Elephas maximus indicus: one gene and its partner. The protein of the gene in region 1 purifies or fractionates together with the protein of each later gene. This does not show direct contact. Links are inferred from orthologs where the notes say so. Each region holds a gene or a part of one and is shown on either strand. Other genes may lie near its edges.

Evidence for each region.
Region 2: the proteins of BLNK (region 1) and SYK purify together in Homo sapiens (affinity purification with western blotting; 3 studies listed by BioGRID and IntAct, with this or other methods). This does not show direct contact. The link is inferred for Elephas maximus indicus from reciprocal best matches to the Homo sapiens genes BLNK and SYK.

The regions. Positions count from the first base shown.
Region 1 is NC_064834.1:48,037,036-48,045,443, forward strand, and holds the start of BLNK (B-cell linker protein), read right to left. Parts: upstream 3,569-8,408; 5' UTR 3,403-3,568; coding exon 3,356-3,402; intron 1,096-3,355; exon of another isoform or gene 926-1,095; intron 1-925. UniProt on the Homo sapiens protein: Functions as a central linker protein, downstream of the B-cell receptor (BCR), bridging the SYK kinase to a multitude of signaling pathways and regulating biological outcomes of B-cell function and development.
Region 2 is NC_064827.1:118,740,642-118,748,694, reverse strand, and holds the start of SYK (tyrosine-protein kinase SYK), read left to right. Parts: upstream 1-4,566; 5' UTR 4,567-5,860; coding exon 5,861-5,917; intron 5,918-8,053. UniProt on the Homo sapiens protein: Non-receptor tyrosine kinase which mediates signal transduction downstream of a variety of transmembrane receptors including classical immunoreceptors like the B-cell receptor (BCR).

The DNA of each region.
Region 1 (8,408 bases):
CAAAAATAGCCAAAAAGACTGGAAAGAAGAACTGAAACTAACATGAAATTTATCAGGGATCAATGTAAAGTCCCATGTTTATATTCAGAAAAGAACTTGTACAACTACATAGAATAATAACAATAATGATGTTAATAACCACCATTTATTTTTATCCAATAATTACCATATACCAGGCTCACTATACACCAATTACTTCACTAAATCATCTATTTAGTTCTTACAACAGCCCTATGGCATTGGGGCTATTATTATCTTTGTCTTACAGGTGAAGAAACTGGGACCAAGGAGATGAAATAAACTTGCCTAAAGTCACACTGTTAGTCAGTGACAGAGTCAGTATTCTAGCTTTGGTTGTCTGGCTGAAAACTACAATGCTCTTTAACCAATAAGCTAAGGATTGGGGAGACCTGAATCGACCACACTTGTGTCAAAGACCTGGGGATTTTAACTTTTCCATTCATAAAAATAAGTGGGTACATGTCTATGTGTGTTATGAAGAAAAATACACAAGCATAGATATTGAGTCAATTGGGAGACTATTAAAGACATAAGAATATACACAATGTGATCCAAGGCTTGAAAATTTTGAAATGTTTACGTAGAAGTATGACATTTTTATGATCATAGGAATATTTAGTGTGGAAGAATTGAGAACTCAGGCCTCAGCTGGGTTCTGCTAGCATTATGTTATATAATCAAGGGAAAATCATGCTAAGAATCAACTAAAAGATTCTGAAAGTTTATGAATTCCTACCAACAGAGAATCCTACTTTATTTTAGTGCCTCAGTAGGAGGAAAAAGCGAGAATTTGTGCTCGTGCTTCTCTGTTACAACTTAGCCACCTTAACTGTCTCAATTTTTCCCCAGTGGAAACTCTCAAGGTGAGTACCCATCCCCAGCTGGTCCATTTTCTCTCTCTCACCTTCACTTTGGGAGTCCTTGGTTCCTTCCAATCCTGCTTGCCCTCCTTTCCTTGGTTGAGTTCGCTTTCCTTCCCCTGCTGATCTCTCTTCTGCTTCTATTTCTTTTCAGCCCTGGGAATATATGCCCTGGATCAAGGTCTTCCCTGCTAGCTTCCGTGAAAGACACTCACGATCTCTCTATTTTTGGGGTTAAGAATTTGAGCAAATTCTCATTAATCTTTGATAATCCTAAAACTATGAACACAGCTCTTCTTCTGTCATCCAGTGCCAAATAATTGCACAGTTAGACAACATTCTGAATTGATGTTAACCAGTGAGGACAGAGAATACAAATCACAAGGGTCAAGTATTTTATCTACCTATTCTTCATCATCCCACCTAACTATAGAAAAGGTTTAAGATGGTGTTTCAAGTCCATTGTGTTTAAATTTTATTTCTTTGAAAAGTTCCACGTTGACAATGCCCATTTTACCAAAACAGGCCAATTCTGTAAAGACAACTGAGCAACCAAGTGGAAAAAAAAAGTTACTTCTGCCCAAGCAGATGAACGTAGTGTATGATCAGCCACAATATAATTTAAGTTTTCTACCCTGTGATCTATGGTTATATGTTGCCTATCAACTACTCTGCAATCAAGCTGAACTTTGTTCCAAAGGGAAGAATCATAAAATAATTTAGGTTCTATTGCCTTTCTTTATTTAAATTCCAATCTGGATTTCCTAAAAGAGGTTCTAATGTTTTCTATAGCTCTAGGTTATGGAATATGTCTGAAAAGGTCCTTTTTGACCTTCTTGCTGATTTAAGAGAGGCCCTGATAGCCATGTTTGATAATTTCTTTGGTCTGTCTTTCCTTTTCCTTCTCAGTGCTGTGCCCCAAGTCCAGGCCTACAACCCCAGATGCTTGGGTTACTTACCTGCCCCCTTCCTAGTATCCCTGCCTCCAGGTTCCCTCCCCTTTCAATCCATGCTGCCGACTTCCCTCAAACCTACTGGTGAACTCTTCTCTGCCTCCCTATCATTAGAGCCTAACTGTTCTTTATGATCTGGCCCACCCTGTGTCCAACCTTATCAGGACATTCTGGTCCCACATACCCTACTCTACCACTTCTGTTGGCCCAGAAAACTCTCCCCCTCATCCCACAAGTGGACTGTACTCATGGGCAGTTCCAAACCTCAGCTTTTGCTGTTTCCTGGTTCCCAGCACCTAACACTTTTCTTTGAACTCTCCAGCTACGTTTATCTTACCCCCTCTTAATGCCTACCACTTGAAACCTCTTCTCCATGACACATCCTCCAACTACTCCAATTCTCTTCTTATACTCGTTTAGTCACTTACTATCTTCCATCATTTTACCTGCTGCCTCCCACCCCTGAAGGTAAATACAGCAACTTGAGAGCAAGGGCAAGACTGAGGTGTCATCTTGCCCGGCACTCAGCGCTGATCACACGGTTCACATTCAATGACAAGCTATTGCAATGGCTGACGCAGCTGTTGCCTACTGATTCCAGATCAACAGTTCATTTCAAACTACCATTTATCAAGCTGCTACTAGGCTTAAGATATTTCTTTTAACTGTGAAGGGCTATCCCTTTGCGAGTTTAAAAATTATTTTTCTTAAAATTTGTCTCAAAGTTCTAATTCTCTTGCTCCTTACTCTCTGTGATAATTTATCTGCTACTTGTGTCACATCACCTCATGGAAAACTGAAGTTCCCTTAGTACTTGGAATACAAAATGCTCATTGAACATGTAAGAGTTCTAATCTCCAAAAACCATGATGATGTTACAATTAGGCCAAAAGAAAGCCTTCCAAATTAAAATTTAGAAAGTCATTTATTCCATAGCTAAGAGGAGTTTCTTAACTCTTGCCCCTTGGGCCACTTCTATTTATTCCTACTAAGTGGCTTCTTATAGATAATTATAACAGTGGCATGAGGACATTGGAAAAACAGATCTAATCGCCCAAAGATACTTGTGATATATAGTCACAAAACAAATAAGAGATGATAAAACTATAATGACTACAAATGATTACCTTTGTTCTCAAAATTAAATAGTAATTCACAATGAAACGGTTGAGGACTCAGTTTAGACAAATACTTCTTTAGAAAAGTTTGTTGCTTTCAGACTCTGAAAGCTGACATTTGGTGAAATCTAAGCCTCTTAGCTTTTCTTTTTTGTTGTCTCTCCAGAGCTTTGCACTTTAATCTGTCACTGGGAAGAGCCAGTTTGTGCTGGCTACACATTTCTTGCTCCAACAAGTTTCTTTAAAAATTCAGTCTATTTCCCTACAGTAATTGCCACCCACTGCCTTGAAGTTAGCAAAGTATTCCAGGATTTCAGTATTTCTGAGATACAGTAAGAAAATTCCCCAAAAAAGGAGAAGAAAAAGGAGAAATAGGAGAAGTACTGAATAGGGAAAATCTTACCTCAACTTCTGACTGGCTGGGACAGTTATCTTATTAAGCTTGTCCATTCTTTTCGGTAATTGTAAGCACTACAGATAAGTGTTCAGTGGTAGCATCAGCAGTTCCTGGCCCTCCCAGGCAGTAGCATGATAAGCGTTGGGTCTCAAGGGTCCCTTGTCACTTGAATCTGATTTCCGAGAGCACAGGCTGCTGGCAGACACTCCTGCACTAGAGAGAAGTAAAACTTGCTCGAGCACATAGCAAGTTTCATGTTTCTACATAATCATGTGATCAGGGTAGCCAGCCAGCTTGGCTGATTACTCCATGTTGTGTAAACTTTAATAGTGAAACCTATTGGGCATGCAGATTTCTTTCCAGCTGCTTTTTTTTATAACCAGATTTGTAATTAGGGCAGGACAAGCTTCTGGCTGGTCACGACTTCCTGTTGTCTTGTCCACATACAGTGCCTGTTTTCAGCAAGTATCATGATATGCTGTCAACGGCAGCTTCCTGGCCTCAAGGAAAAGCAGGATAGCCAATTCCATCCTAATGTCTTTTTGAGACTTTCTGTTCATTTGCTTAAAGTCATGGATATACTTTTCCCACTTTTAAAACCATTATAAATGAGAACCCTGGTGACACAGTGGTTAAGAGCTCAGCTGCTGACCAAAAGGTCTGCAGTTCAAATCCACCAGCCACTCCTTGGAAACTCTATGGGGAAATTCTACTCTGTCCTACAGGGTTGCTATGAGTCAGAATCGACTTGACAGCAACGGATTTTTTTGCTATATGAAAATGGCATTTCTGTGCTGTCTCTTCTGTCTCGTCCCCTCCCCCCCCCAAAATATTATTTGAATAAATATCAAGGTGGCAGTGACACAGTGGTAACAGTTTCCTCAGAGAGTTAGAGTCTCTCGTTTCCTGGAGATCTATGTAAAATTGGATGGAAAATTCTCTATGCAAGATCATTTAGGGGTAGAGACAGGTGATCTGGAAAAGGAGAGATGATCACCATCATAAGAAGCGTGGCCTCCTTATTGGGCTGGTGGAGGCTGGAGTTACCACGCTGGTAGCTAGATGCTTTCAAGCTCAGCCTGGATGTACAAAAGTTAGCCAAGAACAAATCTAACAGTCTCCCAATGATGTAATTCTGACATCAGGCCATTCTGAAGTTCCCTTAAAAGTAGAGTGCCACTTTCCTCCCTGTCTTTGTCCCCTCTTGCCTCACCATACCCAGGTGACATGGGAGCAGTAATGGGTCTCCAGAGCACAGACAGGAGGAGCAGGTAAGGTGCTGGGAGGAAGGCACCCTACCTGCATGTGGCCAGACCCATCCAGAGAGGTCTACTTCTTTTCTGGAAAACTTCACAGTTTCTTCAACCTATTGTGAGTACGTTAAATAACAACAACAATAACTATACCAATAAACTTTGCTGAAAACTCCTGATTTGTCCATCGTTTAGAGTGTAGAAGGAAGACGGTGAGAGGGACCATTCCTTTTCTTCCTAGACACACTTCCCTTGCTTCCGGCAATAATGCCCTGCTCACCTATGTGAGGTCAAGTGAACATTTCCCACATTTACCAAGGTGACTGGTCCTCTCCTTGGTCTGAAAAATACACTGAATGGACAAAATAGAGGGCTCCCAGTTACCTCTCCTGTTACAGACTCAAGGTCTATCAGTTAGAAGGGGGAAGAGGAAAAATAATCAAACCCATTGCCATTGAGTCAATTCTGACTCATAGCAACCCTATAGGACAGAGTAGAACTGCCCCGTTGGGTTTCCAAGGAATGGCTGTGGATTTGAACTGCTGATCTTTTGGTTAGCAGCTATAGCTATTAACCACAGAGCTATCAGGGCTCTGGAGGAAGAGGAGGAGGAAACAAAAGAGAAGGGGAAGGAGGAGGAGGAGGTCGTGGCAGAAGTGGAAAGAGTAGATGCCTTTCTTCCTCCCGTGCCTCTTCTTTGAACAAACTGAGGTTCTATTTTTCTCTAGATAAATTTTGATTATTCACATTCATGCCTGCCTCCAAATTTCTGGTTGAGCCAGATGTTCAGGGGGAGAATCTTCAGAAGTTTTAAAGGGTAGGGCCCTTCGGCTTGGCCAGGCCACCAAACTGGCCAGGCTAGCAAGAGAGCAGATGATATTTCATGAGAAAAATTCAACAGCTTTCCTCCTCCAATCATGTATTTCCTTCAAACAAGCAGCTTAATTATCTTGCAATGTATTGTGAAGGAGCCATAAGATACTCTTCAGGTTCCTAACTGAAAGGATCCAGTAGACAAGGATGTTACCAAGGCATGTACAATGTCATCTGAGATCAGGAAAATCAAGCTTCACTGAATGGGGTGAAAACAACAAGCTCATTCTTTCTAAATTACTGTAAACTGTACTCCATCCGTCCCTTGACTTTTCTCTCAATCAACAACTCTGCTCAGCACCTGGGCTGGCAACTTATTTCCCCAGAGAAAAAGACCAGGGGGATGGGTTACTTCTGCTTTTTCTTTTTACAGCCACTTGTCTTTCTTCTTTTTACTGCATTTAGTCTGACATGATAAAAATGAGAGTCTGCATTTCCAGACTGGACATTTTGCCCCATGTGGTGTGTAGCGTGACCATCAAAATGTTCCAGGCCTGCCGTGCCTACTCAGTAGCTGTAACTGGCTTGCTACAAAGGTCAATGCAAGGATAGAAATTTATGACATCAAGTTTTAGTTGATGACTTATAAAGGGAATGAAACCACACAACATGGTTTCCACAGCACACGGAGAACATTTAAATGCTCAGGCTCAAGGTACATGGCACAGGGATGTGGAAATTTACAATTAAAAGATGGGGAAAAAATGTATAATCCCAACCTTAAAGAAAATTTGAAACTCCTATACACTGCTGATAATGGGAAACCCCGCTGGAACTGTGGTTAAATTCTCAGCTGCTAACCAAAAAGTTGGCAGTTCCAACCCACCAGCCACTCCGTGGGAGAAAGATGTGGCAGTCTGCTTCCATAAAGATTGCAGTCTTGGAAACCCTATGGGGCAGTTCTACTGTGTCCTATAGGGCCACTATGAGTCGGAATTGACTTGATGACAATGGATTTTGTTTTGGTTTTATACACTGATAAAAGTACACATATTTTACATACATTAGGTACAATGACTTTGGAAACAATGTGGCATTATCTAATAAAGTAAGCTATATATATACCTAAACCCGCTGTCATCGAGTGACACAGCAATTCCACTCCTAACTATATACCAAGGTCATGTGCAACAACGTTCATTGAGAGACTTTTATAATAGCAAAAACCAAACAAATAAATAAACCTGGAAATAACCCAGTAGTCCATCAATAGGAGAATGGATAAATTAATTGTGGTATATTCATTCAATGGAATACCATACAACTAGTGAAAAAATGAGTGAACTACAGTTGCTCACACCTCTATGGATATATTTCAAAAACAATTTGAACAATACAGGCAAGATATAAAAGATGATACAGCACAATTCCATTTATAATGAGGTTAAAGACATGCGAAGCTAGCTAAATAATATATTATTTAGGAATACATTCCAATTTGGTAAAACCAAGGAAAGGAATGATAAATATAAAATTCAGGTGAACGGTTACCAGGGAGCATAGTTGAGGTGAAGGGGTACATAGAGTTTCAAAGATGGTGGTAGTGTGCTATTTTTTACGTTGAGTAGTGAGCATACGAATTCTCGTTTTATTGTTATTCATAACTTACACACATCATAGGTATTAAATAAGAGAAGATCTAGTCTTGATTTATGGGGAAAAGCCAAGACAGTCTGCCTAAGTCTGAGTTAGCTCTGTAAGATGATAAGACAAGAGAACAAGCAGAAAGATTATACTGGAGCTTGGGGATGAGACCCAGCTAGGCTTGCCTCCTCTTGGGCTTTTTTTCTTATGTCTTTGGCATGAAAACAACATGTTTATTGAATGGTCTCCATGTGCCTGTACTATGATTACATCCATTTTACAGGTGAGGAAATTGATGCTTAGAGAGATCATGTAACTGTCCCAAAGTTACACCGCTAATTAGTGGAAGACCTGGGATTCAAACCCAAGTCTATTTCTGTCGCCTAAGCTGCTGATCCCAGGGCCCTACCTTCACTGAAGAGAGATCTTTTGTGATTCGTCTGGGGGCAGAGGACCCTGCTCTGTCACCCAGGTGCCAACTTAACCATGACCTTGAGCAACTCAGTCTGTTTGGCCTCAATTCTCACCTATAGAGTAAAGGAGAAGGGATTCAAAGAGGGCTCAGGCCTCTTCTGACTTGGAGTCTGGACACTGGTAATGGGCACAGGAATAGGTTAGCACCAGTGGGCATAGTCTGAGAATGTTCTATATTTCCTTCACCTTTGGGCAAAGGTTCTGGTTTAAAGTTTCAAGAAGAGAACCTCTGATTCTTCACTCTAGACTGCTTCTCAGAGAGAGGAGAGGCTAGGAGACCGTGGGCAGCTTAATGGATCTTGGAGGTGGTCCAAGTCCTCACTGAAGCCTGGGCTGAGGAGCACGTTTCCGTGCATTCCTGCTCTGGGAAGTCAGCTACAGTTTACCCTCTCTGCTCTGCTACCCAATCGCTGATAACCGTTGCCCTTCCAGGGCCGGCTTAGGCATGCTCCCAGAGGAAATAGGCAAGGTGTGGCATTGGAACTTCTCTATGCAGAACCATCACCATGATTCTCAGCCTCACAACAACCCTATGAGATGGGTGCTGTTATCATTCCCATTTTATGATGTGAAAACTGAGCCTTAGAAAGGTGATGTGACCTACCCAAGGCCACCCAGTCTTCCTGACCCCTCCCAAACCATTTTCTCTCTATTTGATCCCCTCTTTTTTCTTTGATTCTTTCTTTTCCTTCCCTTCTTCTTCTTTTTTTTTTTGTTTGGGGGGGTGGTTGTTAGTGGCGTCTACAGCAACAGCACCCCGGCAGCTTTCTGACACACACAGGTCAAAGTGGCAGGAGACCCTGATTGGTCAGGCCCATGCCTGGTTTTCTCAGCCAGTACTGGTTAAGAACCCAGATGGAGTCTGGGTGAGCCAG
Region 2 (8,053 bases), on another chromosome or scaffold:
TACTGCCTTCTATTAATTAGGTCCTGTCTGCTGAGCAGCTCATAGTTAGCAAATACTAGCACCTATTATAGTAAACTGGACAGGTCTTTTTCACATGCTATGGACAAATTTTTGATTTACATAAATAAAATACAATCTGTTTCTGAGGGTGGCAGGAAACATTCCGTTGGGGAACCAAACAAAAACAGAGATGTGTGTGATTATCAGGAGCTGAGATTAGTTTAGACAAGAGTTTCCCAGATATTAGTATCTATTCACTCTTGTATTGAATTTTATAGTAGCCTGTACTTTCCCATTTGGTATAGTTGTGACCATCAGTTCCTCTTGTGAATAATCTAGAAGTCACTCTAAATAGAAAAAAAAAAAAAAAGAAACTAAGAGTCAGTCGTTGTTGATAGGTGCCATCGAATCAGTTCCCACCCAAAGCAACCCTGTGTACAACGGAATGAAACACTGCCCGGTCCTGCACCATCATCACGATGGTTGTTATGCTTGAGCCCATTGTTGCAGTCACTGTGCCAGTCAATTGTCAAGAGTCAATTAGAATTCTTGTGTCAGATAATATATTTTGTTTCTCTTATTTACAAAGCAGGGAAATAATTTTTAAAATCAAATTACATTTGACTGTCTTTGTAAGAGACATGATTTTGAATCCAATGAACTATTTTATAATATGGTGAAACTCTCTTAGCCTTGTGTTTTATATTAACTCATTAAATGGGTAGCTTTTTTCTTTTAATCGTGCTTTAAGTGAAAGTTTAAATTCAAGTCAGTTTCTCATACAAAAACTTATACACACATTGTTATGTGACCCTAGTTGCTCTCCCTATAACGTGACAGCACACTCTCTACCCTCTATTTCCCATGTCTCTTCAACCAGCTCTTGCCCCCATCTGCTTTCTCATCTCGCCTCCAGATAGGAGCTGCCTACATAGTCTCATGTGTCTACATGAGCCGAGAATCTCACTCCTCACCAGTATCATTTTATGTCTTATAGTCCAGTCTATTCTTTGTCTGAAGAGTTGGCTTCAGGAATGGTTTTAGCTTTGAGGTAACAGAGAGTCCAGGTGCCATTCCCTCTGGGGTCCCTGCAGTCTCAGTCAGACCATTAAGTCTGGTCTTTTTTTTTTTTTTTAGTCAATCACCCAATTTTATCAGATCTTAATATTCTGTCACACTTGCTTTATATTCCATGATCTTTTTTTTTTTATTGTGCTTTAAGTGAAAGTTTGCAGTTCAAGTCAGTTTCTCATACAAAAACTTATACACATTGTTATGTAACCCTAGCTGCTGTCACTGTAATGTGACAGCACACTCCTCCTCTCCACTCTGTATTTCCCATGTCCATTCAACCAGCTCCTGTCCCCCTCTGCCTTCTCATCTCACCCATGGACAGGAACTGCCCACAGTCTCATGAGTCTACTTGAGCTTAGAAGCACACTCCTCACCAGTATCAATTTGCGTCTTATAGTGCAGTCTAATCTTTGTCTGAAGAGTTGGCTTCGGGAATGGTTTTAGCTTTGGGCTAACAGAGAGTCCGGGGGCCATGACCTCTGGGGTCCCTCCAGTCTCAGTCAGACCATTAAGTCTGGTCTTTTTACTAGAATTTGAGGTCTACAACACACTTTTCTCCTGGTCCATCAGGGATTCTCCGTTGTGTTCCCTGTCAGGTCAGTCATTGGTGGTAGCTGGGCACCACCTAGTTCTTCTGGTCTCAGGCTGATGGAGTCTCTGGTTTATGTGGCCCTTTCTGTCTCTTGGGCCCATATTTTCATTGTGTCCTTGGTGTTCTTCATTCTCCTTTGCTGCAGGTGGGTTGAAACCAGTTGATGCATCTTATATGGCCACTTGCTAGTTTTTAAGACCTCAGATGCCACTCACCAAAGTGGGATGCAGAACATTTTCATAATACACTTTGTTGTGCCTACTGACCTAGATGTCTCCTGAAACCATGGTTCCCAGACCCCCACCCCTGCTACTCTGTCCCTCGAAGTATTTGGTTGTTTTCAGGAAACTTCTTAGCTTTTGGTTTAATCCAGCTCTGCTGACTTCCCCTGTATTATGTGTTGTCCTTCCCTTCACTTAAAATAGTTTTTATCTACTATCTAATTAGTGAATATTCCTCTCCCTCCCTCCCCACCCTTGTAACCATCAAAGAATGTTTTCTTCTGTGTTTAAACCTTTTCTTAAGTTCTTATAATAGTGGTCTCATACAATATTTGTCCTTTTGCAACTGACTAATTTCTATCAGCATAATACCTTCCAGATTCTTCCATTTATAAGATGTTTCATGGATTCATCGTTGTTCTTTATCATTGCATAGTATTCCATTGTGTGAATATACCATAATTTGTTGATCCATTCATCCGTTGGTGGGCATCTTGGTTGTTTCCATCTTTTTGCTATTGTAAACAGTGCTGCAATGAACATGGGCGTGCCTATATCTGTTAAGTGAAGGCTCTTATTTCTCTAGGATGTATTCTAAGAAATAGAATTGCTGGGTCATATGGTACTTCTTTATCTAGCTTTCTAAGGAAGTGCCAAATCGATTTCCAAAGTGGTTGTACCATTTTATATTCCCACCAGCAGTGTATAAGTGTTTCAGCCTTCCACAACCTCTTCAACATTTATGTTTTTTGGATTAATGCCAGCCTTGTTGGGGTGAGATGGTATATCATTGTAGTTTGAATTTGCATTTCTGTAATGGCTAATGATCATGAGCATTTCCACATAAAATGCTGCCTGAATGTCTTCTTTGGTGAAGTGCCTGTTCATATCCTTTGTAAATGGGCAGATTTTTATTGAGCTCATTTTATGTGCCTGGAGTCCCCAGGTAGTACAAATGGTTAACACACCTGACTGCTAACCAAAAGGTTGTGGAGGTGGGAGTCCACCCAGAGGTACCTCAGAAGAAAGACCTGGCCATCTACTTTTGAAAAATCAGCCAATGAAAACGCTATGGAGCACAGTTCTACTTTGACACACATGGACTTAGCATGAGGTAGAGTCGACACAGGAGTTGATGGCAAGTGGTAGCTGGTTCCTGTGTGCCTACCACCATTCTGGAGACCCTTCTGGGTGCCAGGAGTACATTAGTGAGCATGTTGTGAGGCCAGACAAGTTACAGCCATCGGGATTAAAAGCTGTCTGATCAACGTGACATTTCTGTTTAAATTTGGTAGCAAGCCCAGTGAGTTCTCAAAATAAGAACCTTCTGATTATCACAAAAGTGTCTTTCTTGTGAAAGAATACTTTTTCATAGCCATTAAAAAAAAAAAAAAATGTTCCTCTTAACCAGGGACTGATTTTATGGCAGGTTTTACTTTCAGCTGGCAACGATGTAATGCACACCACCAGGATGTCCACAGGGCTGATAATGTTCAGACCCACAGGATGATCACAGGCCATACTGGGCACAGGAACCCCAGCTTCCCAGCAGGGCAGCATCAGGTATCTTCCTGCAGAGGGAGTCTTCGCTGCAGTCCACACCTCTCAGGGCCAAGGAGGCAAGGTCCACATGGAAGCCTGCCCCAGGAGCCATTTCTCTCTAAACAACACTGTAGACATAGTTTCTAGAGTCCTTACAAGAAACAGGCTCAAAGCTCTGGCTTTTTATTAAGTATTTATAGTTCTGCCAGACTGGAAAGAAAGGCATGGCAATCTGCTTCCAAAAATCAGCCAGTGAAAACTCTGTGGTGACAAGGGCCTGATCCACAACTGATCATGGAAATGGTGCGGGATGGCACAGGAATGGGCAGTGTTACTATTACCATAAGCAATGCTGCTTAACTATATAATTGACAGGCTGCCTTATCAGGTTACCTGGGGAACAAGGCTGGAGAGCTAACCAGAAGTCAGGTTCTTTTGCAGAAGGGAATAGATTCTGTTAACCTATTGCCCATATTTAACACTAACTTGTTTTTTAAAATACGTAAGTCGTCGTTTCTTTACAACATTGTTCTTCGTACAGCCATATGAACCCCGGCCCTTGTTTATTTGCTTAATATATGCTTTCCCCAGGAGAATGTTTCCATGGATGGTGGGAGCCGTTGGCCCTGGAGGGGAGATGTATTTTATCACTGGAATCATTTTCAATTGTTGTGGCGTGGTAATGCTGTTATTGTTTCCCAGGGCCAGCTATTCCCACGGCCCCAGCTGTGGCATGGGCCCCAGTCCTTCTTATTTTCTGCTGGGAACCCAGCACCTAGAACATGCCTGACACATGGGAGGTTCATGGATGCTAAAAGAAGTGAATGTGGAATGCTGATTGGCACGTTCTGCTTTATTTTTAAAAATCGTACTTTATAAATTAAGCTGTTTGAGTATCTCCACATGTATCTTACTTCATGTAGCATTTTATAGAAATTCTCGTCATAGCCAACCTCTGTATGAACTAGTGTGTATAAAAACCAGTGTCACTGGAACTGTACTATTACAGATAATAAATTGGTGTTTTTTGAAAATCGGTTACCCTCTAAGGAACAAAATTTATGTTTGAAGTATATTCTATTATTTGAATAATATTCTGAATGTAATATTTGCTTATTGAAGGATTCTATGGCCAAAAAATTGAATGACATAGGAAGTATCAAAAGAAGATGGAAGGAATATGCAGAGTAACTGTACCAAAAAGAATTGGTTGACATTTATTTCTGGAGGCAGCATATGACCAAGAACTGATGGTACTGAAGGAAGAAGTCCAAGCTGCACTAAGGGTATTGGCAAAAAAAGCAAGGCTCCAGGAATTGACAGAACACCAACTGAAATATTTCAACAAATGGATGTAATGCTGGAAGTCCTCACTTATCTACGCCAAGAAATTTGTTAGACAGCTACCTGGCCAACCAACTGGAAGAGATCCATATCTGTGCCCATTCTGAGGAGAGGTGGTCCAACGGAATGTGGAAATTATAGAACAATATCATTAATATCATATGCAGGTAAAATTTTGCTGAAGATAGCTCAAGAACAGTTGTAGCAGTACAGCAGCAGGGGACTACCAGAAATTCAAGCCAGATTGAGAAGAGGATGTGAAACTAGGGATATCATTGCTGATATCAGATGGATCTTGGCTGAAAGCAGGTAATACCAGAAAGATGTTTACCTGTATTTTATTGACTATGCAAAGGTATTTGACTATGTGAATCATAATGAATTATGGATAACATTGCAAAGGATGGGAATTCCAGAACATTGAACTGTGCTCAAGAGGAACCTGTGCATAGACCAAGAACAGTCACTGGAACAGAACAAGGGAATACTGCATGGTTTAAAATCAGGAAGGGTGTGTGTCAGGGTTGTATCCTTTTACCATGCTTATTTAATCTGTATGCTGAGCAAATAATCCGAGAAGCTGCACTATTTGTGGAAGAATGGAGCATCAGGATTGGAGGAAGCCTTATTAACAACTGGCGTTATGCAGATGATACAACCTTGCTTGCTGAAAGTGAAATGGATTTGAAGCACTTACTGATGAAGATCAAAGACCACCTCATTACACCTCAACACGAACAAAAATCCTCACAACTGGACCAATAAGCAATACTGTGATAAACGGAGAAAAGATTGAAGCTCTCAAGGATTTCATTTTACTTGAATCCACAATCAGTGCCCATGGAAGCAAAAGTCAAGAAATCAAAAGATGCATTGCATTGGGCAAATCTGCCGCAAAAGACCTCTTTCAAGTATTAAAAAGCGAAGTTGTCACTTTAAGGACTAAGATGCGCCTGACCCAAGCCAAAGTATTTTCAGTCGCCTCATGTGCATGCGAAAACGGAACAATGAATAAAGAAGACCAAAGGAGAATTGATGACTTGAATTATGGTGAAGAATATGAATATTCCAGTGGACTGCCGGAAGAATGAACAAATCTGTCTTGGAAGAAGAACAAGAAGAATGCTCCTTAGAAGTGAGAATGGTGAGATTTTGTCTCACGTACTGTGGACATGTTATCAGGAGGGACTAGTACCAGGAGAAGGACATCATGCTTGGTAAAGTAGAGGGTCAGTGAAAAAGAGGAGGACCCTCGATGAGACGGACTGACACGGTGGCTGCAACAGTGGGTTCAAATGCAGCAACCGGTGTGAGGATTGTCAGGACTGGGCAGTGTTTCGTTATGTTGTGCATGGGGTCGCTGTGAGTCAGAACCGACTCTACTGCACCTAACAACAACAACAGCAATATTGACTTCCTAAATTTTTCTTTGTACACTCTCTTTTCTTTTAATTTTGTAATGAAAAATTTCATATAAACATGTTGAATACTCATACTTAAGAAACTTAAACCATTCAGAGAGTTTATAACAAAAAGGAAGACTCTACTAGCACACTCTTCTTTTCCCCCCGTTGTGCTCCAGGAGGCTCCCTTTTTTTTTTTTTTTAAAGTGTAGTAATTTTATCACTTTTATTTAAATGATTTATGCCCTCTATAAAATCTCTCAAGCAATCTACAAAAGTATGTTAAGAAATTTCCCTAATTCTTACCATAACAAAACGACGAGTAGTGACTTTAATGAATGTTATTTCAGATAGGTCTTTTTTGCAAATACACAGATGGATGGATGGATGGATGGATGGATGGATGGATGGATGGATGGATGGATGGATGGATGGATGGATGGATGGATGGATGGATGGATGGATGGATGGATGGATGGATGGATGGATGGATGGATGGATGGATGGATGGATGGATGGATGGATGGATGGATGGATGGATGGGTGGATGGATGGATGGGTGGATGGGTGGATGGATGGATGGAAAGGAAAGAATCATGGTATACATAAGTTTTTTCAATTTAACAGATTATTTTAGAACTTATTTTACTTGAATTTAATAAAGGAGAAAGAAACTGAAATGACAACAAAGGAGCTGAAAACATTAAAAAAATGTTTCTTCACCGTATGAAATATTATTATCCTTAAGATCTTTTGATGGTTAAGAAAAAAAAACATCATGAGACCATTGCTTGGCTAAGCATTGTCCTTTAAAAAACCTATTCCTGCTTAAAGAGTATTCATTGGCTCTTTTTTATGAAAAATGAAGTGACAAATATTTTTATATTCACATGTTCTGACGTGTGTTCCTTATGTTTATTTTTTTAATTTCTCAAAGTTACTAACAATTACATATGTACATATTCATTTGTTGGCATTTATAAACATTTGTGTTGTGTTCTGAAACCAAAAACACCTTTCTTTTTTAATATTTATATTTAAATATATTTCACTGCTCACCACCATGTTTTTCACCATGCTACGTCCATTCCTGATTTATTTATTTTGATAGAGTCCCTGACTGGCAGGTTTTATTGTTGAGTAGTTTTTGTTTGTTTTATTTTTACTTTTTTTTTTTTTATTCATTTCACCCATTCTTTGATATTTGAGAATGCCTGCATATTGCAGGTTGTTAATGAGCCTTCCTCCAATCCTGATGCCACATTCTACCTATAGTCCAGTTTCTCACATTTTTTGCTCGGCATACAGATTAAATAAGTATGGTGAAAGGATACAACCCTGACACACACCTTTCTTGATTTTAGACCATGCAGTATTTCTTTGTTCTGTTCTGGTGGCAGCCTCTTTGTCTGTATACAGTTTCCACATGAGCACAGTTAAGTGTTCTGGAATTCCCATTATTATGCAATGTTATCCATAATTCGTTATGATCCACACAGTCAAATACCTTTGCATAGTTAATAAAACACAGATAAACACCTTCCTGATAGTCTCTGCCTTCAGCTAAGATCTGTCTGACATCAGCAATGTCATGTCTAGTTCCACAGCCTCTCACGGAATCCAGCCTGAATTTCTGGGCTTTCTGCCAATGTACCGCTAGAACCATTTTTGAGTTACCTTCAGCAAAATTTTACTTGTGTGTGATATTAATGACTGTTCAATAATTTCCACATTCTGTTGGATGACCCTTCTTGGGAATGGGCACAAATATGGATCTCTTCCAGTCGGTTGGCCAGGTAGCTGTCTAACAAATTTCTTGGCCTAGAGTATTGAGCACCTCGGACACTGTATCCATTTGTTAAAACATCTCAATTGGT